Kluyveromyces lactis: one gene and its partners. The protein of the gene in region 1 interacts with the protein of each later gene in a pairwise test. Links are inferred from orthologs where the notes say so. Each region holds a gene or a part of one and is shown in the gene's direction. Other genes may lie near its edges. The genes, in order: RVS167, VRP1, VPS1, GTS1, DSS1, ACF2 and AIM3.

The links.
Region 2: the proteins of RVS167 (region 1) and VRP1 interact in binary tests that used the Saccharomyces cerevisiae proteins (3 or more experiments, as listed by UniProt). The link is inferred for Kluyveromyces lactis from reciprocal best matches to the Saccharomyces cerevisiae genes RVS167 and VRP1.
Region 3: the proteins of RVS167 (region 1) and VPS1 interact in a two-hybrid assay, tested with the Saccharomyces cerevisiae proteins (2 studies listed by BioGRID, with this or other methods). The link is inferred for Kluyveromyces lactis from reciprocal best matches to the Saccharomyces cerevisiae genes RVS167 and VPS1.
Region 4: the proteins of RVS167 (region 1) and GTS1 interact in binary tests that used the Saccharomyces cerevisiae proteins (3 or more experiments, as listed by UniProt). The link is inferred for Kluyveromyces lactis from reciprocal best matches to the Saccharomyces cerevisiae genes RVS167 and GTS1.
Region 5: the proteins of RVS167 (region 1) and DSS1 interact in a two-hybrid assay, tested with the Saccharomyces cerevisiae proteins (2 studies listed by BioGRID). The link is inferred for Kluyveromyces lactis from reciprocal best matches to the Saccharomyces cerevisiae genes RVS167 and DSS1.
Region 6: the proteins of RVS167 (region 1) and ACF2 interact in binary tests that used the Saccharomyces cerevisiae proteins (3 or more experiments, as listed by UniProt). The link is inferred for Kluyveromyces lactis from reciprocal best matches to the Saccharomyces cerevisiae genes RVS167 and ACF2.
Region 7: the proteins of RVS167 (region 1) and AIM3 interact in binary tests that used the Saccharomyces cerevisiae proteins (3 or more experiments, as listed by UniProt). The link is inferred for Kluyveromyces lactis from reciprocal best matches to the Saccharomyces cerevisiae genes RVS167 and AIM3.

Annotation. Positions count from the first base shown.
Region 1 is NC_006041.1:280,318-283,329, forward strand, and holds RVS167 (amphiphysin), read left to right. Parts: upstream 1-1,225; coding exon 1,226-2,512; downstream 2,513-3,012. Other genes in the region: CIN10 (Cin10p), read right to left, coding at 1-270. UniProt on the Saccharomyces cerevisiae protein: Component of a cytoskeletal structure that is required for the formation of endocytic vesicles at the plasma membrane level.
Region 2 is NC_006038.1:537,163-540,808, forward strand, and holds VRP1 (Vrp1p), read left to right. Parts: upstream 1-1,376; coding exon 1,377-3,146; downstream 3,147-3,646. Other genes in the region: KLLA0_B05995g (heme-dependent oxidative N-demethylase family protein), read left to right, coding at 1-62; ERV1 (flavin-linked sulfhydryl oxidase), read right to left, coding at 3,224-3,646. UniProt on the Saccharomyces cerevisiae protein: Involved in cytoskeletal organization and cellular growth. May exert its effects on the cytoskeleton directly, or indirectly via proline-binding proteins (e.g. profilin) or proteins possessing SH3 domains.
Region 3 is NC_006038.1:1,164,432-1,168,297, forward strand, and holds VPS1 (dynamin-like GTPase VPS1), read left to right. Parts: upstream 1-1,311; coding exon 1,312-3,366; downstream 3,367-3,866.
Region 4 is NC_006039.1:1,495,827-1,498,896, forward strand, and holds GTS1 (Gts1p), read left to right. Parts: upstream 1-1,418; coding exon 1,419-2,570; downstream 2,571-3,070. Other genes in the region: MND1 (Mnd1p), read right to left, coding at 53-730. UniProt on the Saccharomyces cerevisiae protein: Appears to modulate the timing of budding to obtain an appropriate cell size independent of the DNA replication cycle. Transcription factor involved in both heat resistance and flocculation.
Region 5 is NC_006039.1:556,620-560,564, reverse strand, and holds the start of DSS1 (exoribonuclease II), read left to right. Parts: upstream 1-1,145; coding exon 1,146-3,945. UniProt on the Saccharomyces cerevisiae protein: Essential for mitochondrial biogenesis. Required for intron-independent turnover and processing of mitochondrial RNA. Participates in 3' mtRNA processing where it hydrolyzes single-stranded RNA or partially double-stranded RNA with 3' single-stranded tails.
Region 6 is NC_006040.1:1,445,417-1,449,709, reverse strand, and holds ACF2 (endo-1,3(4)-beta-glucanase), read left to right. Parts: upstream 1-1,493; coding exon 1,494-3,914; downstream 3,915-4,293. Other genes in the region: SPE4 (spermine synthase), read left to right, coding at 1-168; RMP1 (Rmp1p), read right to left, coding at 237-887. UniProt on the Saccharomyces cerevisiae protein: Cleaves internal linkages in 1,3-beta-glucan.
Region 7 is NC_006038.1:826,647-830,870, reverse strand, and holds AIM3 (Aim3p), read left to right. Parts: upstream 1-1,424; coding exon 1,425-4,004; downstream 4,005-4,224. Other genes in the region: ISA2 (Isa2p), read left to right, coding at 1-323; KLLA0_B09482g (uncharacterized protein), read right to left, coding at 445-1,029.

The DNA of each region.
Region 1 (3,012 bases):
AATTTCCAAACTATGAAAGTTTAAATCCTTTGGATTCATTGCTATTAAAACCCCAGAAATTACACCAGTATCGTAACCGAAAAGCATCCCACCAATTGTCGAACTAACAAACATAATACCCGTCCTCCATGTGAATGGGTATGGTCGTTGTTCAATATCATTTGCAGTGGTGGTGGTCATCTGAGAGAAAGTGGAGTACAAATCCGAATACACATCTTCGACACTGCTATCTCGCTGCGGTGAGGAAGATCGTACAATATCGTCCACCATAATACGGTACCAGGTTAAGAGAATATATGCTGGATTTTGCTGTCCAACGGATTGTAAGAACGCCGCTCTATGAACAGATCGGTGGGATATTACAGCAAGTGTTTAAAGTTTGTAAATCTTTGTTCGAGCCTTGGAGTCAGAAAATGGTTTAAATCCCATTCGGTAATTTAAAGTGTCATTTACTATATTAAGACATTAAAATGAAAAGAGGACAAACAACATCTCCAATGACAGTAACTTCTCGAAACTACTTGTAATATCCATAACGAAACAACCGTTATGTAAAAATATACCTAACTTATATCCTACCAAGAATCTTGCTGCACTTTATGTACCTTGCTCCACAACTATTCTCAACCGAAGGGTACATTGACTATTAGCCTAGAGTCAGCAGGCCTAAAAAAAAACAAGGTCAAGCTTGCAGCATATTTGAGTGATACGCACTCAAATTACAACCAATAGGAGAACCAATGGGCGTTAATAACAGTATAGACCATCCCCTTAACTTTTCACAAGCCTACTGCTCAAATGCATTGGGCCAATTTCCGATGAACTAAGCCAAGCCTTTTTCCTTTCTGTACGCTTTTGCCGATGCACAATACAATTTCAAAAAAATTCAAACTTTGGACAATTTCAATTTCATCACTTTGGAAGGGCATGTAAAAGGGGCAAACTTGAAAGGCAACTGAAGCGGTATATATATCTAATCAGCGTGTCAACGAGTTGTCTGTTAGAGCAAATCTGAACTTAAATTAATCTTTCGAAGGACAAACAAGCGTCTTTGTCGAGGGAAAGAAAGTTAATTTATTATAAGGGCAAAGAGAGAGAGCACTCAAATAAAAAACACGAAGAACGTGAATTTAAACAGATAAAAAGCGTTAAGTTTTGAAGTTTAGAGCGTATACAGCGAATAAGAAAGCAAATAACAATCAATATATTTTCCCCCTAGAGAGTCATGTCGTTCAAAGGTTTTACAAAAGCTGTCGCCAGAGCACCCCAGTCTTTTAGGCAAAAACTGAACATGGGTCAGCAGACTGTTGATCCTGTTTATGAGGATGCTGATCGTCGTTTCAAGGAATTGGAATCGGAAACGAAGAAGTTGAGCGATGAGTCAAAGAGATATTTCAATGCCGTGAACGGTATGCTAGAGCATCAAATTGGATTTTCTAAGGCAATGTCGGAAATTTTCAAGCCAATTAGTGGTAAGATGTCCGATCCCAATGCCGCTGTGCCAGAAGACAATCCAGAAGGTATTGAAGCGAGTGAGCAGTACAGTGCAATTGTTTCTGAGTTGCAAGCTACTTTAAAGCCTGATCTAACTCTGATTGACGAGAAAATTGTTAAACCAGCACAAGAGCTTTTGAACATTATTAATTACATTAGAAAGATGTCCACCAAGAGAAACCATAAAAAGCTAGATTTGGATAGGAGCTTGAACACGTACAACAAATATGAACAAAAACAGAATCCAACGCCAAAGGATGAGGAGAAAAAATATAAAGCCGAGGCTCAAGTCGCCGTAATGCAACAAGAATACGACTACTACAACGATATGTTGAAAACTGAATTACCTATACTTTTCCAATTGGAATCAGAGTTCGTGAAACCATTATTTGTTTCATTCTACTACATGCAATTGAATATCTTCTACACCTTATACAACAGGTTCCAAGACATGAAGATCCCATACTTTGACCTGGATACTGACATCTTGGAGGCATTCCAAGCTAAAAGAGGCAACATTGAAGAGCAAACAGATGCACTAACCATTACTCATTTCAAGCTGGGATACTCGAAGGCCAAACTAGATTTAACCAGAAGAAGATATGGTGCTACTGACGACTCAAGTCCTGGAAGTCCAATGAGCCCACCCGCATACGGCCAAACATACGGTCAGCCTGAACAGCCACAACAGATGGGCTATGACTCAAAACTACAACAGCCGCAACAGCAACAACAGTATCCAATCGGAGGTGTTGCAGGTGCCGCTGGTATCGCAGGATACAATTCGGTGCCCACCACTGCGACCCAGGCATCATACACTCCTCCCACTAGTGCAGGAGTGGAGACATGTACCGCTTTATACGATTACACGGCCCAAGCCGAAGGTGATTTGACGTTCCCTGCTGGTGCCATAATCCAAGTCGTGGATCGTTCCGATGCAGCAGGATGGTGGGTCGGTGTCTACAATGGCGTCCAAGGTGTATTCCCTGGGAACTACGTCGAACTATCGAAACAATAATGAAAACAAAAGAAAACTAATCTCTTGGTCACTTTCCATTCCCTTTCTGCTGTGTATAGACTGAACTTGAAAAAAATAATAAAGCAAAAGAAAAGCTCTCCTAGCCTGTAGTTACTATATACTCTAACCTTGTTTAATTCAAGAATGCCCCATAGCTTTTAAAGGATACAGAATGCACATCACTATCGACGGAATTGACGATATTTGGTCACCTGGCAATAGTCAGACATTGCTTCATGGAGACGAAAGGGGTTCGTCAGAACCCCTGTCTACATGCCCCTATATTTCTACACATCACCAGTAGCAGAGCCAGCCACTAAAATCACACTGGTTTCCAAGCACACAGCAGGTAAGATGGAAAAGAATTCCATGAGAAAGTACACTAAGCCTTACTGCAGGAACAGAAAGAGATACGTCTCTATATATACTTAAAACCAGCTATGTATTTCAATGCAACAATTAGCTCCCACCATCACAACTGCTCCCACTGCAGTGCACAC
Region 2 (3,646 bases), on another chromosome or scaffold:
AACCCGAGTGGGGGCCAGCATTGCTTGAAATGCTTGAATCAGCATTACATAGAAAGTTGTAAATAACTTTAACGAACAATATTGACAGATACTCTTAAATTAACGAGTGTTGTTAATAGAGCTTGAGTCGAATGTGAATGCAGTGACGAAAAAATAAAAAAGCTTCTCCGCGACGGGGAATTGAACCCCGATCTCGCACGCGACAAGCGCGAATTCTAACCATTAAACTATCGCGGAATAGATATTTTTATGAAAGATTGAGAAGACATTCCCTCACAAGTCTGGAATACGAAACCATGTGCAAGAAGTTCATTTCCGAGACTAAATTATAAGGCTTTTTGGGTAACCAAGGTTCGAATCACAAAATACCATACGATTTAGAGATGTGCCCCAGTTTCCTGGGTAAAGGACGCTATTTATGCATCCAAAACCATTCGTGAAAATTCGTGATGATGTTTTTTAGCATTCAACAGAGGAAAATCCACAGAAACGAGGGAAACACACAGCAAGAAGCTGTGAATTTATCTTCAATTTGGGCATCGCTTTGAATCCATGCACCACTGAAAGAAAAACTGCGCACGGATCTTCGAAGATGCCACTTAAAATCTATATACTATGAGGACGGATTCCATTAGCTAAGTTAAAAGAACGACGACAGAAAATGCATTACTTCGCGTTAGGACACCTGTCACTAACAAAACAAAGAATTGACAACGTATTACATCTTGCTGTGGAATATATTAGCTCAATTTTTAATCCAATCCCCGATGGTGGTGGTACTAGCTATAGATAGTGTACATGATATATAGATTTCAGTACCTTCTTCACATAGTAAGTTGTTAAGATGCTTGATCGCCTTTGAAAACTTTTTTAAGACAAGGTCCAATACCAAAATGTTACCCGAATATATTATATTGGTAAATTATTCGTATAGGGCTGGTAACTGGGAATGGCACTCCACTAAAACGATGTTCCTCATTTAGTTACTACATGCCGATGCTACCGCGAAATCATGAAGAGGTCCAGTGAACTTCGTACTGTAGTAGTATCATAGAATCGTCTTGCATTGCCGTATTCTTCTTGATTATTGATTTAGCACCGAACTGAAAGTGTAGTGTCTGGGTGGAAAGTGTAGTGTCCGGGTATCCTTGAGGCTTCCAGATATCAATTAGCTATTTAAAAATGAAAGAAACGTCAAATCAGAGAGAAACAAACTGTTGCAGTGCATAGGGGTCCACTGCGTTTAAGGTAGTTATTCGAAAAGAATCATAGCGATACCAATTGACCAGTGTGTTTCCGCTAAAAGTTCTATAAGACTTAAGGATTTGAGCATACTTTGTTATAGATAACTTGCTGAACATAGAAATTAGAATAATATGGCTGGTCCACCTCCACCACCAGCACCTCCTCCGCCTATGTTTGGCGGAAATTCATCCAATGCTGGCTCCGCTGCAACTCCTGTCCCACCCCCAGCGGCTGTTCCAGGACGTGATGCCTTATTGAGTGATATTAGGAAAGGTGCAAAACTTAAGAAAGCACACACTGTGGATAAGAGTGCACCTGCGATTGGAGGATCAAGTTCGATGAGCCACTCTGTATCAGTATCGAGCTCAGCAGTCCCGCCTGTAGCACCATCGATCCCGACTCCAACTCAGCTTCCCGGTGTCCCTCAATTGGGAGATATACTTGCTGGTGGGATCCCTAAATTAAAACATGTTTCGGGTTCCTCTAAATCACCAGCTATTCCATCTGGAGCTCCTCCGCTTCCGGATAGCTCTTCAATCCCAAAAATTCCTTCTAATAGACCACAGCGTAAAAAGACTTTGAGAAGTGAGGGTGATTCGTCAGTGGCGGCTCCTCCTGCTCCTCCTCCAATGGCAGCACCGGCAATTCCAACAAGTCCGCCACCAGTACCCATGATGAACACACCACCGGTTCCGAAACATCCTCCAGCAAGACAACGCACAGAAGCACCTCCGGTTCAAGCACAACCTGCTCCGCCTGTAACGTTACCACCTGCACCTCCAGCTCCTCCTATAGCCGTGCCACCAGCTCCGGCACCTCCAGTACCTCTAGCACCTCCCACAATTAGCACCCCTCCTGCGGCCCCACCAGCACCTCCTACGCCTGCACCTCCTACATCTGCACCTCCAGCTCCAGCACCTCCAGCACCTCCCATAATCAGTACCCCTCCTGCAGCCCCACCTGCACCTCCAAGCATATCATTCCCAACGTCCACGCCGCAACCACCACCATCTGCACCGTCCCCAGCTGGAGGACTTCCATTCCTGGCGGAGATTCAACGAAAGAGAGATGACAGATTCGTAGTTGAAGGAACAGGACATGGTGCGTCGAATAATACAGCATCTTCCGCTCCAAAGGTACCGCTTCCCTCATCATCTGCTCCTCCGGCTCCTCCTTCGTTCAGTGCTCCTTCGGTTCCACCAACTCCAGCTCCTGCTGCTCCACCTTCAATTGCTGCTCCTCCGGCCCCACCGGCTCCTGCACCTCCTGCACCTCCTGCCCCTCCTGCCCCTCCGGCCCCACCTACTCCTTCCTTTAATGCACCTACGCTGCCTCAATCTACCCCAAGTTCTGAAGCACCATCTATTCCAGCCGGAGGATTACCATTTCTGGCATCAATACAAAGCAGAAGGGATGATTCTCACATTATCGAAAGTGAGAATAGTCATACACCAGTGGGTGCGCCAACGGCTCCTCCTTCCCCTCCTCCACAAGCCGCTTCATTTCCCTCTGCCAAAGCTCCACCACCTCCACCCGCAGCCTCAGAGGAATCTCTTCAACAAAATCAGCAACCTCAAGTGGAACGCACAAATAGTTCCTCATCAAAAGGTTTCTTCAAACACAGACTTTTTTCATCTGGTAATGAAGCCAGTCGACCATCTCAATCTACTAACCCTTACACAAATGCTGCTGAAATAGATGTCGGAGATTTCACAATAGAAGGAAGTCAAGATACGACCGGAATAAAGCTGAATAACAGTGGAATAACCATTGATGATTCAAAATTCGATTGGTCTAACAGAAACGATCTCCCCAAACCGAGACAATTCTTGGGCTTAAGAAAACTATATCCAAGTGGCAGAGGTTCAAGTGTTCCATTAGATTTTACTGTATTTACATGACTTTATAATGAGTAAGAACTATATAAGATATTAATGAAAGCATTCCTAGACGAGTGGAAGAGGAAGAAGTATAACACTTAATCCCACCCATCTACCCACCTTTTCTTCCACAAATCGCAGTTGAATTTCTCCTTTCCCAATTTCTCATTAACTTCATTATGTGCCGCACAAATCCATCTACCTAAGTCGTCTTTTGAATCAACCTTGGGTGCGTTCTCTTTTATAAATAGTTCAAAGTCCTTAGCACACCACCCGCATGGATAAACATGAGAGAATATGGTCATAAATTGTTTCATTTCTTGTTTCTGTGTGTCCGATGGCTTATTCGGATACTTGGCAGCTATCGTATGTAACAAAGTCCAAGAAGAACGGCCTAGCTCTTCGACATCAGCAGGCCCAGACTTAGAGTATGTCTTAGATCCAGGAATCAACAGTGGCTGGTCAGCTGAAGTATTTGAAATATCTGTCGCGGCCCCAGCTGCTAATTCACCGGAGCCAGG
Region 3 (3,866 bases), on another chromosome or scaffold:
GTGTCCTTGAAAACCTGTGCGTCTTGTACTGAAGTCGACAACCTGAATGAGTTTTGACTTGCTACGTCTTCCTAGATCAGAAAGAACCGTCAAAAGTACTCCTCACAAGTTAATTCGTGATGAGGATAATCAAATAAGTGTCGGATGTGTATAATCTCCGAGAGTTAATACACCAAAGTTCCAATGCAAAGGCTTTTTTCAGTATTTGTGAGTCTGACACTAACTTCTTTTGTTGTTGTTGTTGTTGGTAACAGGTGACCAATATCAAAAGATGTGCTCGTCACTAATTTGAACTAAAAACGTAACTAGCACAAACTATCCAGTTATATTCAGATAGAGAGAGACTGTGTGTATATGTGTGTAGACAAAAAAATCAGCCAGTTAATATTGTATTGTCTGAGAATTCCGTTTCCCTTTATTTCTTTCCTTTACCAATTCTGTCTCAGGAGTGTCCAGCGAATGAAAGAATTAAGAAGTTCAATTTGAAGGTACTGGCAAGTTTGGACCAAAGGGATATGTAGTGTTGGTTTTAACTTTAGCTTCTCCTGTTCACACACTCAAACCAAATAAAAGGTATAGTAAGTTCAAAAGTTCACACTTTGTTATATTATTTCATTTTGTACTAAATTTTTAAAGCCAGAAAAATTCAAAATCGATTTCAAGACCCAGGAAAAATCAATAATTACGTGAAAGACCCCAATCATAAGAATGAGCGAGCTTGAATTTGCAAATTGTATGTTCAATTTCCTGTAAATCTTATCCAACAATAATTCAATTGGAAGTATATGCATATATATAAACGAAAATCCAGATATGGAAGAATCAAGATATTTGATGATTACAAAACCTTTGTATTTCGTGTGTAGATCTGTAACGGCATCCGAAAAAAACAAGAAAACTATCCCATTGACAGTGAAAGTCGGCCTTTATATGGGCCCTTGTAGTTCGTTTGGAAACTCTTCTCCCCGTTAATTTGAATAAGAGGCTACTGGCTAAATAGGCTCACTGACTGTGCTATCTATTGGATACGATCTGGATCCAGTTAGATTGGCAGATCTAACCATTTCCGGGTAATACTTGGTTTTTTCTAACTTTTGGTGGCGAAAAAGGGGAAAAACAAGAAAAACATCAAATCAAAATCAATTCTAGTCAACTCGAGAGAGATATTCCAAATATCTAGAGAGATTTATTTTTATATATACCTTTACTACATCCAAAGTTAATCGGTTAGGTCAGAGATATATTTTGAATTCTCAATTTGTAATTGTAATTGAGATCAAGCCCAATACTGTGAGTAAATAAACTGGCAACATGGATGAACGTTTGATTGCTACGATCAATAAGTTACAGGATGCTTTGGCTCCATTAGGCGGCGGTTCTCAGACTCCGATTGATTTACCACAAATTACCGTTGTTGGTTCTCAAAGTTCTGGTAAATCTTCTGTGTTGGAAAACATTGTCGGTAGAGATTTCTTGCCTCGTGGTACCGGTATTGTTACCAGAAGACCATTGATCTTACAATTGATCAACCGTAGGGTCAAGAAGGAGACTAAGCATGCTACAGAAGAGCTGTTAGATTTGGATAACAGTGCAGCCAATGGTGGTCAAAATGAAGACAATGCAGAAGAATGGGGTGAGTTTGGTCATTTGCCCGGTAAAAAGCTTTTCAACTTTAACGAAATTAGAAAAGAGATCGTTTTGGAGACCGATAAGAGTACCGGGAAGAATGCAGGGATTTCTGCGGTTCCAATCACTTTAAGAGTATATTCGCCACATGTGCTAACTTTAACCTTGGTCGATTTGCCCGGTTTGACCAAGGTCCCTGTTGGTGATCAACCAGCTGATATCGAAAGACAAATCAAGGATATGATCTTGACTTACATCAAGAAACCTAACGCTATTATCTTGGCAGTGAACCCAGCTAATGCTGATTTGGCTAACAGTGATGGTTTGAAATTGGCCAGGGAAGTCGATCCCGATGGATCAAGAACCATCGGTGTGTTAACTAAAGTCGATTTGATGGATGAAGGTACAGATGTCATCGATATTTTGGCCGGAAGAGTTATCCCATTGAAATTTGGTTATATCCCAGTAATCAATAGAGGTCAAAAAGATATCGAAAAGAATAAAACAATTAGATCTGCGTTAGAGGACGAAAAACGTTTCTTTGAGAACCATCCATCGTACAGTGCAAGAGCACTGTACTGTGGTACCCCATATTTAACTAAGAAGTTAAATTCTATTCTATTGCATCACATCAGACAAACGTTGCCAGATATTAAACATAAGATTGAGGTCACTTTGAAGAAATATCAAACTGAATTGTTAAGTTTGGGTCCAGAATCCCTATCATCTTCCAGTTCCATCGTGCTAAGCATGATCACAGACTTCTCAAAGGAATACACAGGTATATTGGATGGTGAAGCAAGGGAGCTTACAAGTAAAGAACTATCAGGTGGTGCTAGAGTCTCGTTTGTGTTCCATGAAATCTTCAAGAATGGTGTTTACGCCTTGGATCCATTCGATCAAATTAAGGACTCCGATATCAGAACTATTATGTACAATTGTTCTGGTTCAGCGCCTTCTTTGTTTGTGGGTACCGAAGCATTTGAAGTCTTGGTGAAGAAGCAAATTAGTAGGTTCGAACAACCTTCTTTACGTTTGGTCAACTTAGTTTTCGATGAATTGGTCCGTATACTAAAGCAGATTATCAACCAACCAAAATACAGCAGATACCCAAGCCTAAGAGATGCTATCTCGAATAACTTCGTTCAATTCCTGAAAGAGGCGGTCATTCCAACTAATGACTTTGTCGTCGACATCATAAAATCTGAACAAACTTATATCAATACAGCTCATCCAGACCTATTAAAGGGCTCTCAAGCAATGGCTATGGTTGAAGAAAGACTACATCCACGCCAAGTGGATCCAAAGACCGGTAAACCGATTGCTGCTCAACCTGTAAAAGCCGAAGAAACTAGACCATCTGGTTTCTTTGGTGGTTTCTTCTCATCGAAGAGTAAGACTAGAGCTTCTGTTTTGGAAAATCCACCAAATGTTTTAGAAGCCACTGGTCAAATGACTGAAAGGGAAAAACTTGAAACGGAAGTTATTAAATTACTTATCGACAGCTATTTCAGCATCGTCAAGAGATCCGTGGCAGACTTCATTCCAAAGGCTGTTATGCTAAAATTAATCGTTAAGAGTAAAAATGACATTCAAAAGATTCTACTTGAGAAATTATACAGCAGCGAAAATCTTGACGAGCTAACGAAGGAAAGTGATTTGACTACCCAAAGAAGGAAAGAATGTCAAAAGATGGTCAATATTCTAACTCATGCTAGTGAGATTGTTTCATCCGTTTGAATATTAAGTGCTTGTATTTATAAATTGAAACTGTTTTTCCCTCCATTTCATTTCCTCTTTTTTTTTTCTCTGGCTGCTCTGCCTATAGATTAGTGAAATAAATAGTGATATATATCATTGATAAAGAATATCAGAATTATTAATTTTTTTTTTGTCATCGTTATCTTGCTTCCGAATTAAATGTATGTTTCGTTCTATTAACTTAGCTATTATTCTGTATTGGCATGTAACATTTTCAAATCCTATTTTCCTAAAGCTAGTAATTTTTTGGTGACAAATATTGGCCATGCTAACGCTCAATGTATATTGTCTTGATTCACAGTGATTCACAGTTATTTGAATGAAAATTACGAAGACTCATCAAATCTTTAAACATTTTCAACCAGGAAATAGATGATAAGCCTCTTAACTAATAGATTGCAGGATGCTGTTATGATCTCTAATATTGAATTTTATCGACAGTGAACTATTCCAATTTATGATAAATGTTCTCACTTTTT
Region 4 (3,070 bases), on another chromosome or scaffold:
TCGTATATGTATATATAGTATCCAATGTATCAACCCTGCTTACCTCTCGTTACTAAAGGTGACCCAACTTTTCAAGTATTGTTTCAAATTGATTGAATTCATTAGGAAGCTCCAACTCAACTTTCAAATCAGACATTTGAACACAATACGTAGATGAGATATGCCCAGTGATGCAATCAATGTTATCTGCAAGACCTACAGCAAAACTTGCCTTTTCAAACAAATTATGTTTCTCCTGTTTGATGCGCTGTGGAGTCCAGTTATTTTTGGATAATTCTTCATATTTGGAGTTCAATTCACGAATTGTCTTTTGAACCTCTTTCAATTTACTTAGCTGTGCACTTCTTTTCCAGCCGCGTCTATTCTTCAACGTATCACTCCTCTGGCCTTGAATTTCCTTCTGATACAATTCCTGACACCGAGCAATTTCACTTTTCTCATGCTCTATTCTTTTCTCTATGTTACTGGCGTCGCTATTCAACTTATTTTGCATCTGATTTTTGAAAGACCAATACACGTTAATGTTCCCACACTTTTCCACACTGATCAATCCATCTTCATCAATCATCTTTTGTACTAATACCTTCACTAACATGGAAGATATGCCACATTTCTTGGGGATATATTTCTCTAATTCCTTCATGTTGTATACGGTATGTTCTTCTTGGAAAAACCTTAGGATACGTGCTTTTTTCTCGGCAAGCGAAACGGTATTCTTACCTGGGGCCATGTTGAATTATTTGAACCTTTTAATAGACTTAATTGAAGCTGATGTCTTTGATGTGATGATGGTTCTTCTTCTGTTTGTTTTTAACCGCTGAACCTTGATAAAAATATATAAAAGAAGACGAAATGTCATTTTCCATGGGGAAATTTATAAACAGTAACATATTTTGGTGAAAGAAGTATCAGAATCGAGAGTAATTGAATCAATTCAGAGATGCCATATTAATAGCCATGGTTGCTTATAATTGGGGAGGCGGTTAGCTGCTATATACGAAACATTAAAATAGATCCTATTCTCCGGCTAAATGACAGACCACGTGAGAATAAACTCTCCTGAGGCAATATGATAGTACATAGCTTAAGCCTGTCTATCACGTCATTATTCAAAAGGTATCCAAGATGGTATATCGTACTGACTGCTTCCAATAGACTTACGTTTGTTGAACAAAAATAGCTCTTGAAATATTCTATGCGGTTGAAATTCCGAACAGGAACAGAAGTTCTATGAATGAACGAAGCATAAAATGGTGAAAGTGAAGAACGGATATTGAAAATAAAAAAAAATACTTCATATTATAAGATTATAAAGACCCAACGCTAGAATTACGTTTATATCAAATAGGGGTCCCAAATTGGACTAGTCGAGTTTAGGTAAGGTTTATTGAGGAGATACTGAAGCGAGGAAACCAAAAATGAGACGATCAAGAGGTGAATCTGTAGAACATGATTTAAAGTTTTTGCTTAACGCTGGTGAGAATTCAAATAAATGTGGTGAATGTGGGACACCATTCCCTACCTACTGTTCAGTGAACTTGGGTGTATTCTTGTGCGGTCGGTGTGCTTCCGTACATAGGAAAGTGTTAGGCAGCAGAGAAGATGGTGCTACTAGTATCGTGAAATCTTTATCTCTTGATAGATGGTCTAAGCGTGACGTTCAAACTGTTGCCGATCTTGGAGGAAACAAACATAACAGCAGTTTTTGGAACCCTAAGAAAGAACCTTTCCCATTTGACGGTGACGAGGATCGTACTGCCGTTGAAATGTTTATCAGGGATAAATATTTAAAGGGTAAGTTCAGACATACCGCTGTCAAGGTGGAAGATTTCAATCTAGAGGATGATTCGTCACAATTGGACTACAAGTCATCCCGCCCATCATCTGCGTCCGGGTCCAGAAGAAACCGTTCTGCCTCATCTGCCAGCAGTAGACCAAGATCAAGAGAAGGAGACAGACCTCCGCTTCCAAAAAGGCCGGACAACAAAGTGCAAGAAGCCGTTTTCGATGGAACAAGTGAACCAAGCCTACCTAGTACAGCATCGGCAGAACCTCGCCCAGCAGTATTCGATGGGGTACAACAATACTATGATCCAACTACCGGCCAAATTTATGTAGATCAAAACTCCTATGCGGCAATGCAGCAGGCCCAGGTACAAGCATTGGCACAACAAGTTCAACCTCAGTTTACACAACAGGTTCAACCTCAGTTTACACAACAAGTGCAACCCCAATTCACACAGCAATTACAACCTCAGTTCACCCAACAGGTACAGCCTCAATTCACTGCTCAACCATCGATAGATAAGAACACACTATTATCACTGTATCAAAGACCAGATTTATATTCTAGTGCCGTAGAAATCAAACCGGATAATCCACAATACCAACAGATCCTGAATCTCCAAAAACAACAGCAGGACCAACAACAGCAGCAACAGCAACTGCTACAACAACAGCAGCTACAACAGCAGCAACAGCAACAGCTCCTGCAGCAACAACAGTTACAACAAATGCAATACCAACAACCACAACAGTACCAACAACAATTCTACCCCCCATTCCAATAGATCATCATCCCTTGGCCTTCTTTGCAGCTGCAGCTGCAACTGCACATCTGCTACCGCACTACGGTTTAATCTCTCATACCTATGTTTGCCTATATAATACGTAAATATGGCTAAAACCAAAACACCGCTACAACTAATATCTAACTTTGTCTTCCTCCTCTGACGTTTCACAACGTCTGCTATACACTCTTATCCGGAACATCCACGATCTACTTACTACCTAGCTATCACCACTATTATCTTACTGACCATCAAAAAAAAAACCTCCCATTGACTCATAACCAATCATATCTTATTTGCACTTAACGAGCGTTTTCTTAAAACCGTTCCACCAAGCACCAGTGTCTTTCCACTGCCTTTACTGTGTACGTTTTCTGCGATATATCTGTCTTTCCTTCTTTGTTTCTTTATTTCTATATAAAGTTCAAAATGACTTATTACAAACTAAGTTTTGATCCTTAAAAACCATTTATAAGAAATAAGAACGCCCCCCCTTGTAA
Region 5 (3,945 bases), on another chromosome or scaffold:
GTGTGTGGGTGTGGTGGGGTAAGTTTACTCGTAGGGGTTTTTCCGTGGTTGCAAACTCCTATATTATCATCAATATATCAAGCATATGCTTTGGATACGACTATTCAATAATTAGTTAAAATCTGTGAGTGTGATGGGCAGTGGTAGAGTTGGTGACAGAGTTAGTAGCACTTTCACTCTGTCTTGCTCTCACGCTTTTCCTGTCGGAGTTTTTATATTGTCTCGGACCTTGCTTGTTCAGTATCCGAAACTTGAAGTGTTTGGAATTGCAATCTCCGATATATGTCACAGTGGTATTTAGATTAGTTGTTAACGGCGAGGAATTTATCCTTTTTTTTCTTTGCCTACATATCGCTCCTACTTGCTGTCTTTTGGTCTAATGTCCGAAGGAGCGCTTTATTTTGTTCTAAATATTACTGCCAAACGTCAAATGCCAGTAGTTTACCGAATTCTCTTCGACAAAAGGTAACTAACGGACAATCACGGTAGAAAAGAAATTAGTGGGGTCGATCACTGAGTGGTGTAAGCTAGTTGAAGGTTTTTCCCCTCCATTGGCTTCATCTTCACCAAGAAAGTAGCAGGGTACCCCGCACCGGTATTTTTCAAGTCGTTTTTCTTTCGCGTTATTCCTGCTACCTGAGCATAGAAAAAAAGCCAACAGAATTCGCCAAGTTAGTGTACACTCTATAGCTTGAGACCGCTATCTTCAACAGTTAAAGTGTCACAGTCTAATGTCTACATTAATGTTTTAGATAAGTAGGACTGGATTTCATAGGATTACATTCACCGTGAGGTGCCGATGTTGGAGGAAATTTCAGTGCGGAGCCAGCCCACCCTTCCCACATCTGGAATCGAAAACCGAAGAGCCGAATATCACAAATCACGTGCTATTCTATGTAACGTTACCCGGGTGTGTCATATCGGGTCCTTCACTTGGCAGGGTAATAAACTCGAGAAAAACTTAAGAGAAATCGCATAGAGCCCCATTGAATAAAAATGAAAATGAAAATATAGAAGGCATTTTACACTTGGCACATTGGAAAGTCTAGCTCATCACTCAGTAACACTTTGCCGATCATACTTTCTAGGTTTTCTCCTTTGGTTCCAACACTATCTACTAGTTGTTCCTCACTTGAAAAACTCATATGTCGTCGGTTTTCTCAATCAGGCGGCCTCGTGTTGCTGCTAGGTTCTTGGCTCATCGCAGATATATGCATAGTGGTGTACCTTTATTTCAAGCAAGACAAAGTGATACATCAGGGACTAATGTCACTACAGAGTCTCTACAAGAAGATGAAGAAGTGATATTCTTCTCGCAGGATAAAGATATCTTACCAGAAGTGGAAATTAAACCGTTCAGGCGAACCAAGGCGGAAACTTTGATGAGATTCAATGACCGGTTTGTTCAACCATCAATCGATTGGTATAGAAAAGTTGGGAAATCACATGGAGAAAATACGGATAAAGATGAATTCATGCACTTGCTGCGTAATGATATTTCATCCTCGACTTTATTCGAAGAAACTTTGAAATGGCTCTCTAAGGATAACTATAAGCTAAGGAACAATACCTATAATGGTTATGATACACAGGAAATTGAATTTTATTTCGATCCTTCAGCTATTGTATCATCGACGTTAATGCCAGGTGATATTTGCGTATTGAAAAACTCCCCGTTTGAATTACTAGTGTGTGTTAAAACGCCGTCTGAAGCCATGGATGCCAGATTTACTTTCGCTAATACTGATGGTAACGTGGTATATGCATGGAAAACTAGTGTCCATCTACGATTCCCTACAATTTTTAATACAACCGAGTTAGAAATTTTGCAGCGAGAAAAGCTGCATGGTTACAGTCCAGTTGGCTCTGTAAAAAATGATAAAGATGTTACTTTTGTCATTCCAACTCTACCGCGGAGAATGTTGATCTCTAATGTTACGTTTCGTATTGCAGATGCCGCTGTCCAACAGTTGCCCATCATTAAAAAGAAGTTAGAATTGATTCATCGATACTTACAATCAGGATCAAGTCCATGGCAGATACCCATTTTGAAGTTAGTGGAAATCTGCTCGAATTTAGAGCTATCCAACAACATTGAAAAATCCATTGCAACAGCGTTCATGAAATCAGGCCTCTCAAGCGATGCCCTATACTCTTTGGCTAACTCTCATTTTGAATTAAGTTCTAAAGTACCCAATAAGGTGGAGTGTTCTCGTTTATTGGCTGTTTATTGGGCTCTTTTACATCAACAGGGCACACAGATGTGGGGTGAAATGACCGTTCATAGAGGTATATTCTTCCCAAGCGCCGTAACTGTACTACCCTTGACGAAGCAACACCTACACTATCATAACATCATACACAAACTCAGACAGCATGGGGGTGTTCGTATTAATAGAATTGCGGCCCTCATTAACGAAAATGACCTTGCGTCTTTGAATAAATCGTTCCCATACATCGTTCCCTTGTTACGAGACTATGCAGCTGGAAATCTTGAACACAATGATACTATAACAAGCTTAATTTCCTCATTATTCAGAAAACTTGATGAGTACAAAGAACTCAACATCAGCCGAGATGTTTGTTTCGACCTTTTGAAACGCATAAATCCATCCGAACCTCCTAATCCTCTCCTTATCAATCATGAATTACAATTGCCGGTCAATAATGAAAGAGTAAAATTAGAGCAAAAGATTTATGATTTAGCTGTTCCACCGAAGATTGAGCATTCGGCTGAAATCCGTACTGAGTACAAAGATCTAATCTGCTACTGTATTGACAGCCCAGATGCCCATGAGATCGATGATGCAGTGTCGATCAAATCATTAGGAGGTGCGAAGTATCGTATTTACATCCATGTCGCAGATCCAGCCTCCCTTTTTCCTGAAGCAAATGAAGATGGTACTACGATCAACTCTCCCGTACTTGATATTGCTTATCAACGTGCCTTTACAACATATCTTCCAGATAAAGTTTTCCCAATGCTTCCAACAACTTATGCTAGGTCCTCTGATTTGGGTCAGTTTGGTAAGCCTACTAAAGCGGTTACATTCTCAGTCGATTGCACATTTTCTAAGAGTAAAGGATTGTGTCTTTTGAAAGATTCTTTGAAAGTGGAGTTGTCAGTACTCCACAAGTCCACTCGAATAACTTATGAAGCAGTGGATGAACTGCTTGATGAACCAACCACAAAGCCTAAGTCTGGCAAACACGAAGACCTAAAAACTTTATTCTATATTGCTAAAGCATTGAGAAGGCAGCGGATAGTCGATGGTGGTGCCGTTGTTTTCGAAAATTCTTCAACAGGGATAGTTTCTTTATCCCCTGATGACAACTCTGAGTTGGTGGAAGTTTCATTCAAAGATCAAATAGAAACAAAATCAACAATTCTTGTCTCAGAACTTATGATTCTTGCTAATTCTTTGACTGCGTCCTATTTCGAGGAAAACCAAATTCCAGGTATCTATCGGGGTTACAGACCCTTGAATGTGGTTGAGGATGCAACATCTGTTCCTGAATGGGTCAAAGCCAAGACCCAAGAAAACAAAATCATTTCAAAAGCTGACATTGCTAAAATGAAGTCCTTTTTGACTAGTAGTTTTTATTCTAGTCTTCCAACGCCTCACGATATGCTTGGTACCTCTCACTATTTGACTATTACTTCTCCGTTGAGACGTTTCCCAGATTTGGTAAACCATCTACAATTGCATAGAACTTTAAAAGGACTTCCGCTTCTTTATAAACAATCACAATTAGATGGCATGGTGTGGCATATATTGACAAGGGATGTTACCTTGAAAAACGCCAGTGTTGATGCCCAAAGATATTGGACTCTAAGATTTTTGAAGAAGGAAATTGAAGATCCGACGAAAAATAACTGGAAGTTACAGATCACTTCCTTGACCGATAACGGGTATGCACATTGTGTTATCTTGGACAAAGCTT
Region 6 (4,293 bases), on another chromosome or scaffold:
CAATTAGGGTTGATCGCATGCTGTAAGAATCCAAACACAAATCTCATTGACCCCTGTCGTGCTCCAACTGAGGATGAGCAATCTCAGATGAGATATTATAATAACAAGATGCATTCCGCTGCTTTTGTCTTACCTACATGGGCTAGAAAGGTACTAAATCCATTGTGAAATTCTGTAAACTGAACACTAGAAAAATATACATTATGTAAATATTCGAATACTCGAAGGAACTACAATCAACCGAATAGATCATCAATAGCTGACTTCTTCTTCTTTTGCTTTTTCTTTTTACCGTATTTATTGTCCTTTTTCCCGCTGGCAGCTAGCACTTTTGAGTTGTCATCTGTACTTTTAAAAATCGCCATTGTTTCCAGATCTTCGCCAATTTCTTCCCCTATCTCTTCGTCAGCTATAGATTCCAAAGCTTCCCGTACCTCGTTGTCGGACATCCCAGGGTTGACAGAACTGGTATTGTTCTTTATGCATCCAATCCTACGGAAATCTTCTTCCAACGTATCATAAATGTGCATGTATACCGTATAAATACGTGCCAAATTTCCTATCAGTACTACTCCCAACGTCACAAACTGTCCCAAAGATATTACACCATTGAAATCATAGTACATCTTCTTTATCTGTAACTTCAAAATCGAATACAACAACGAATGAAGCTTCAATAACTGTTTATCATGGCAAACGCCTCGAAAAACCAAGCCTTCAATTATACGTACAGCCTGTGCCACGTTCCTTTTCAAAATATTTAGCTGTTTCCACCATACAGTCGCCCCGTGCTGGTTCTTATTCCTATGATATATGAGGTATACTATTCTTAATTCTTGGCGAAGCTGCACCACTAGTTTCTTATTTATTTCAGAAATACCACCCATGATATTGAGTAATTTATCGTCAATACTCTAACAAACCAGCATTTCGTACAAAAATGAGAGCCAGGACACGCATCTCTGTTTCATCTGTGCTTCACTTCTACCTCATCTCATCTCATGTTCTTAATACACCGATTCGTTTTTTTTTCAAGATCATCATCATCTTTCGAACAAATGTTCCAAGAAAAAGCCTACAATTGCATCCTGCACCGCCCTTTATTGAAAAGAAACCAATAATCATTGCACGCGAGATGACCTGTCACTCCGTAAACGGTTAATTGGATAATTTGAACTCTGTTAAATTGATTGATTATTGTGTCACTTGAATCACTGGAAAGCAAAAAAGCCTGAGTTTTTCCATTGATATTTGTGTCAGGAACGTCGAGCCTCGAGTCGTGCATTGAGTATAAATTAGAGTAAATTTATGCTCGAATGAACCCAATTGAAACAAGAGAACTTAATAGTTTACATCCTGTTCATTGCAAGAGCGGTTTTTGATGGTTTATCCAATATAAAGTAACTCGAAATCTGTCTGCTTCTTAAACAAAGAATACAGTCTTCGAGCCCCAACTTCACATAATTATACCTTCTTTTTAAACATTCCAAAGTATGTCGTATCAGAGACCTGGGGTGAATATACCAAATGGTTTTCAGAGAGATCCGATCCCCCCTCCGTATGCTGAAACAGATCCATTATCTTCCAATTCACAAATACCCTTACAGCCCCCTCCACAGGTACCACCACGAATTCCTCCTAGACGAACTCAGGATTCAGCTTTTGGAGATTATGTCTGGAATAGAAACACCCCTCCGTTGCCTGCAAGGCCAAATACGCAGGGAATTGAAACGGTGGTCCCTAATAACACATCTCGGTCAACTACTAACACAATGGATGAAGTAACTAATCAACTAATGTCTGCTAATATCTCGGCAACAAACGTTTTCTCTTCGCCAATCTCCACTGATCCACCTTTGGCTGTTTTCTCAAAGGTAAATCATGAGGTGCCACTCCCTTCAGGGACTAACAATTCCGGTAAACCAACTGAAACCAACAAGTTTTATGGGAACATCATGCTTGGTGGTGGGACAAATCCAATCTGGACCCATCCATACTCAGTTTGGTATTCTACTGATTCATACTATGGTTTAGCTCTAAATCAGGTTACCGCAGCCCAAAGAGTCTTTGATACCACTAAGACTCCACCTCAATTTTTCTTTGGTCCTACGGGTATCAAATCGCTAGTCTATTCGTCAACTGATTTCAATTCTGCTGGAGACATGTCGTTGGCATTTTACAACATCAAACACTTATCAGTGGATGTTCAGTTGAAAAAATCTGACACTGAATTTATTGTCTTTCCTCTAGTTCAAGGTATGGGATTTGTTACTGCTATTTACTATAATTTAATCCCAAGATTGTCTTCTGCTGTTGGTTTCAAAAGTATCACTGGTGATACTTCACCAAGATCTGGCATTAACAAGTACAAGATATTGCTCGAGAACAATGTCACTTGGACATTGTATGTTACCATTCCATCTGGTCAATCATTATCTTTAGCCTTATCGAATGGGAATACTATCGTTGGTAACAACTCTGTTAACGGATGCGTTTTTCAAGTCGTTGCGGATTCCAACCAAAACATTGATAATGCCGCAGGCTGTTATGCTAATTCATGTACTTTGGAAGGTTCTGTTGATGGGACAAGTGGTAGCTACCAATTAAAATACGGTACACAAGGTAGTTCTAATAGTGGTTATCCTTTAGTTTACGCTTTGCCTCATCATTATCAAAACTTCGATTCCTCTAAGGGAACTAAAACTGTTATTTCTAAATTAGACACTACAACGAAGGGTCAAGCTCAAGGTTATCTCACTAATGAATTGGCAATGAAAGTAACCGTACCCTCAGCTTTGAAGTTCGATCCATTTACTACTATTGCTAATAAATCTGGTCCTAATTACTCTACGAATGTCTTAAACGCTATCAACGCTGCTGCCGCAAACGACGTCACTGGTGATGTCGTGGCAGAAAGTAACCTCGACTCAATGTACTTTTCCGGTAAAGCTTTGGCTAAATATGCGTGGATTTTGTACGTATGCCAATATATCTTGAAGAATTCGAGTTTAGTTTCCACAATTTTACCCAAATTAAAATCTGCCTTGGGACGCTTCATTTCTAACACACAGACTTTGCCCTTGAGATATGATCAAACGTGGTATGGTATCATCTCCTCTGGTGATAGTTCCCAGGATTTTGGTAATTCATACTACAATGATCACCACTTCCATTACTCTTATCATGTAATTGCTGCCGCTATTGTTGCTAAAGTCGATAAAGATATTGGTTCTGGCTCCTGGTACAATGATAACAAGAGTTGGGTTGAGAACTTAATCAGAGACTACGCAAATCCATCTGAAACTGATAAATATTTCCCTGTTTTTAGATCCTTTGACTGGTTCAATGGTCATTCTTGGGCAAAAGGTCTATTTGAAAGCGGTGACGGTAAAGATCAAGAATCTTCATCGGAAGACGTAAACGCAGCTTATGCATTGAAACTATGGGGTCTAGTCAGTGGCAACAGCAACTTGGAAAATATTGGTAACTTGATGCTAGGTGTATTGAAAACTTCCTTGAACAACTACTTCTTATACCTTGACAACAACACCACTCAGCCAACGCAATTTATTCCAAATAAAGTTAGTGGTATCTTATTTGAAAATAAGATAGATCATACTACATACTTTGGTACCAATTTGGAATACATCCAAATGATCCATGCAATTCCAATAACTTCGGCTTCGTCTTTCACCAGATCACCTGAATTTGTGAAACAGGAATGGGATCAACTATTAGCTCCAATTGTCAATAATGTCACGGATGGCTGGAGAGGTATATTAATGCTAAATGTTGCATTATATGATCCAGCTACATCATTCAACTTCTTTAACAGTAGTGCTTTCCAAAACGCATACCTAGACGGCGGACAGAGCAAGACCTGGTCATTGACATATTCTGGCGCTTTCATTTGAGTTCACATGGACATACTATTTCAAACACGAAGGAGGAAAGTCATATGGGGGTTTTTCTCTCCAATGTTAACTACTTCACTCATTTATGTAATTTGCAAGTTCTCTCCATTTACGTAGATCTGTTTTTAGTTAATTGTTAGGTAATATATTGAAAGTTTCCCTGGTTACCGTCCTCCTACCAGTTTCCACTGTCTTTAACCAATCCTTTCTCAAAATAAGCCTACTGCAACACATAGGACTACCAGGTGAATGCAATGACTAACCAAAGGTGGAATTTGCAAGCTTTGACGCTTTTCTGGTTTACAAGTTACTCCGAATCACTTTGCCTTAAAACAGATTTAGAGGTTTTACCAAAAAAGTTCCAGATACGACGAAACCT
Region 7 (4,224 bases), on another chromosome or scaffold:
TGACGGTTGAATCTGGTGGATGTCACGGATTTCAGTACAATTTGAAGCTGGTACCGGAATCTGACAAGAAAATCGGTAACCAGGAACAAGAAACCGATGACCTGAATGACGAAGATGATTTTGAGACTGTTAAGGATATCGTTTATGTATTACCTGATTCCATCGGCGAAGTTGTTATTGATGAGCAGTCCCTAAAGATTTTGAACGATACCACTCTCACATATAGTACCGAATTAATCGGTTCCACTTTCAAGATTACTGGAGGAAGTATGACCAGTAGTTGTGGATGCGGTAGCAGTTTCGGTTTAGACCAGGAAACATGATGTTCTTGCTTTTTTCAACATCCTATTTATTATAATGCAGTGCATGACCCCACTCCCCCCATATTGATGGGCTAATGACTTATATTCAAATGACATTTTACATATATGGTAATGTGTATAGTTAAACTATGAGGTTCTTACATCCTAACAAATATTCTAATAGAACACCATTGGCATTTGATGAGTCTGGTTGCTCGATATATGTCGATCGCAGTGTCACTCTCTGCTGGACAATATGTACTGTTTTTATTGGGAACTCTTTCGAGATCCCTAACCTATCGCTTAATAATTTAGGTAAAAGATGCAAACCAGCGGGGAAATCGCTGACGTTCACTTGGATTTGAAATTGATTCAATAACTTGGTGTCCCTAGTCATATAATCGATTTTCACAACGTCCATATTGGATGTAATTTCTGTTAAAAACTGGTATACAGTCTCATTGTCAAGCTGTAAGGGCACCAGGTACACCTGGTGTTTGCTTAATGTCTTTGTAATCCGATTATCCTGTTGACTATTAGTACAACATACTGTATCACTCAAAAATACACGTAATTCGTCCTCAGAATTATCTATAAGCCAAATTCCTTCTTCACCATCTATATCAGCCACATCAACATTGCAGAACTCACGCAGATCTTCAATGAGCACATCGATCCGAATATCATCTGGTGAATGATAAAAATACCATCGCTCCAAGCCATTCATCTTTCGAGAAAGGAAATTATATCAATGACCAGCAATATTACAAGAGATTGACCTCTGCTTAGATACACGCTTCTCGGTCCTGGGAAACGACAACTTACCCCTGCATTCTTTTCATCTTAGGGTAGTAGTAACCTTTAAACCTTCATGTAGATCGGCTCTATGCCTTTAACAGCTTAAATAGTGAAAATCAAAGGTTTTGAGAAAAAGATTCAAACTGAACAGAATTTGACTCCTAAACCGAAAGGGAAATAAAGGAGAAGCAAGAGTTTGGACCGGTATAAATCAGTAGTTCGTTAGTTATACATTGTATAGCGCGATTGCAGAACATCATTATAATACGGAACACTCTTTCGTCAGCGGTGGCAGTTTTCTCAAGTCTTTGAAGCGCCTTATTCATGAGTAATTTTTGGGATAATAACAAGGGCAGTATTATGTCTGGTCTGGCAAGCGCCGGAAAATATGGTTATCAGGGCACGAAATATGTAGCAAAGGCAGGGTATAAGGCCAGTAAGACGCATTATAACAATTCCCAAGGCAAGAAGAATGTTGAGGAGAGTTCCGATGAAGGCTATATGAGCGAATCGGCTTCAGATTTGTCTCATTTACAAGATCCTAAGATGTTTCCACCGCCTCCTTTAAAACCGGGACAGAAACAGATATCCAGTGATGGGACTGTCATTGATGCTGGTAACGCTCCTCTGGTGCATACTGCTGCTGTGCCGATGGCCAATGCTGCTTCACACCCAGGGTTGCCTCCAAGAACACCGACAGCGAACAGTATTCCTATGCTTACTCAGCAACAAACGTATCCTCCGCAGAATATGTATCAACAACAACCGCCACCACAACCGCCAATGCAACAGCAAGTACCACCACAAGTACAGCAAATCCCACAGCCAGGGCAGCAGTTATCGCAGCAGCCAATGCAGCAGCTTCATCCTGAACCAATTCCTCCAAGAAATTATCAGACTGCCGTAGAAACGCCCCCACAATATACCCCTATTCCATCGCTTAATGCACAACACGTACAAGAACAACTACAACAGCAGTTACAGCAACAGTTCCAACCATCAATGGGTACCCCTGATCAAGGCCAGGCATTAGTCCAAGGCTCTCCCTTGGCGTCGCAACAGCAGGTTCAGCCGCAGGTTCAGCCGCAGACCTCACAATATCAGTCTCAGCAGGTACCCTCGCCTCAGATTCAAAATCAAGGGCAACTAATGCAACAGCAACAAAACTACTTTCAACCTCAACTGCAGCAGACTCAGCCACAGCAGTATATCGATTCCTATGCTCAGTACCAGCAACAAGGGCAGCAGCAAGTTCAACCGCAGATACAGCAAATGCAACCTCAGGTTCAACAGCAACCCATCCAACAACCTCCGCAAGCACAACCGCAGTATCAACAGTCATATCCGCCACAGTACCAACAACAAACCCAATCTTTGCAGCCACAATATCAACAACCAGTTCAGGCTCCTATTGTACAGCCTCCCATTCCTCAACAGGATTATTATCAGCAACAGCAGCAAACTCCTTACCAACCTGCATCTCAACCTCAAATGTATCAACAACAGCCAGGGCAACAAAACCCCATTGTATCTCCAGCTCCTGCACTTGCGCAAAGACCAAGTCTCTCCAATATCCAAACATCTACTGGCCATGGTGCATCTCAAGAATCTACAGTTTCATCAACAGCTTCAATTACCGTTAAACCATACGTTTGGATGGATTCTGATGAACGGAAGGAGAAGAAGAAAATTGAGCTGCAACCTGTGAGTGCAATTGATATTCATCAAGTGACACCTCCTCTCCACAAGGATAGGTCATCTTCTTCAAGTTTGAAGAGTTCATCAAGGGACGCATCCGTATTGGAGAAGGGGAAATCACTTTCACCAGGTCCTGCACCTTTGCCTTCAAGGAATGTCAGACCACCTACATCTGTTGATCATACCAAACCAAACACTGTGACCCCAGCTGCAGCAACTGGAACATCAGCTGAAGTTGGTGATGACCAAGTTAGACCCAATGAAAGTATCACGGGAGTTTATCATGAATCTACTGTATCTTTCCCACCTCCGCCAAAGCCAACGCATAACGGATTGCCAATGTCACCACCTGTATCGCATGCTCGTCCTACAGTATCACATAAGCCACCAAATCCTCCACGTCCTCCTGTGTCTTCGAAACCGACATTACCTCCGATTCAAACTCACCAGCGCATTACCTCCACAGAACGTGCTCCCATAGGTAGACCCAAAGAGGAAGTACATCAAGCTGCGGTGTTAGGTGCTTATAACTATAATGTTGACGTTGGTTTCGCTCCTCCCCCCAAACCACCGAGATCAATGGTAACTTCGCCAGCTAACGATCCTCAAACTTCACTTTCGTCGCGCAGACCTTCCCAAGAGTATGGTGGAGTTGCTAAAGCTTCATCAAGAACGTTGCCGCCGCCGCCGGGACAACAAAATGGCTCGTTGCCCCAGCATACAGAGGAAGAACCAGCCTCCAATAGTTCAGAAAGTGCACCACCTGCCATGAGAATGTTACCCCTAGCAGATTTACCTCCTCCTCCACAGAGGACTGATTCTCATACCACCACATCCGAGCAACCGGCAGTTCCAAGTAGAACTTTTGATCCACCTCCAAGATATTCCACTAATGAAACTATTCCTCCAACTTATAATATTGATGAAGACATTCAAACGGCACATAAGAAACCGCCTCCAAAAGTGCCAAAAAAGAAGGTATCATTAAGGGCAGGAAATAAACCACCTGTCCCCAAGAAAAAGGCTAGTTTGTCCGGTACAGCCACTCATGAACATAACGAGTCAGCCCGCACATCGTTAACGCAAGAAACTAATAACAGTATTGATGATGACGATGATGACGATTCTGGAGAAGGTAATTCTTTCAGGAAGTATTTGAGGCATGTAGTTCCTGCAGAAAGGGATCATATTCATAAGTCCAAATAACTTTAAACACATTAGTGGCATTTACTCGCATCGCAAAAAAAAATAAAGAGTTTTATAAACAGTCATACACCGAGACAGCATACTTACCACTGAAGTCCCGTTAAGGGCTCAAAAACGCGGCTGCAAATTATATAATTATTTATAGATAGGGACTAAAGAACACGCATTATCATTATTCTTTTTAGTGTTTTACATTTCATCTTATTATCATTTAAGCTAT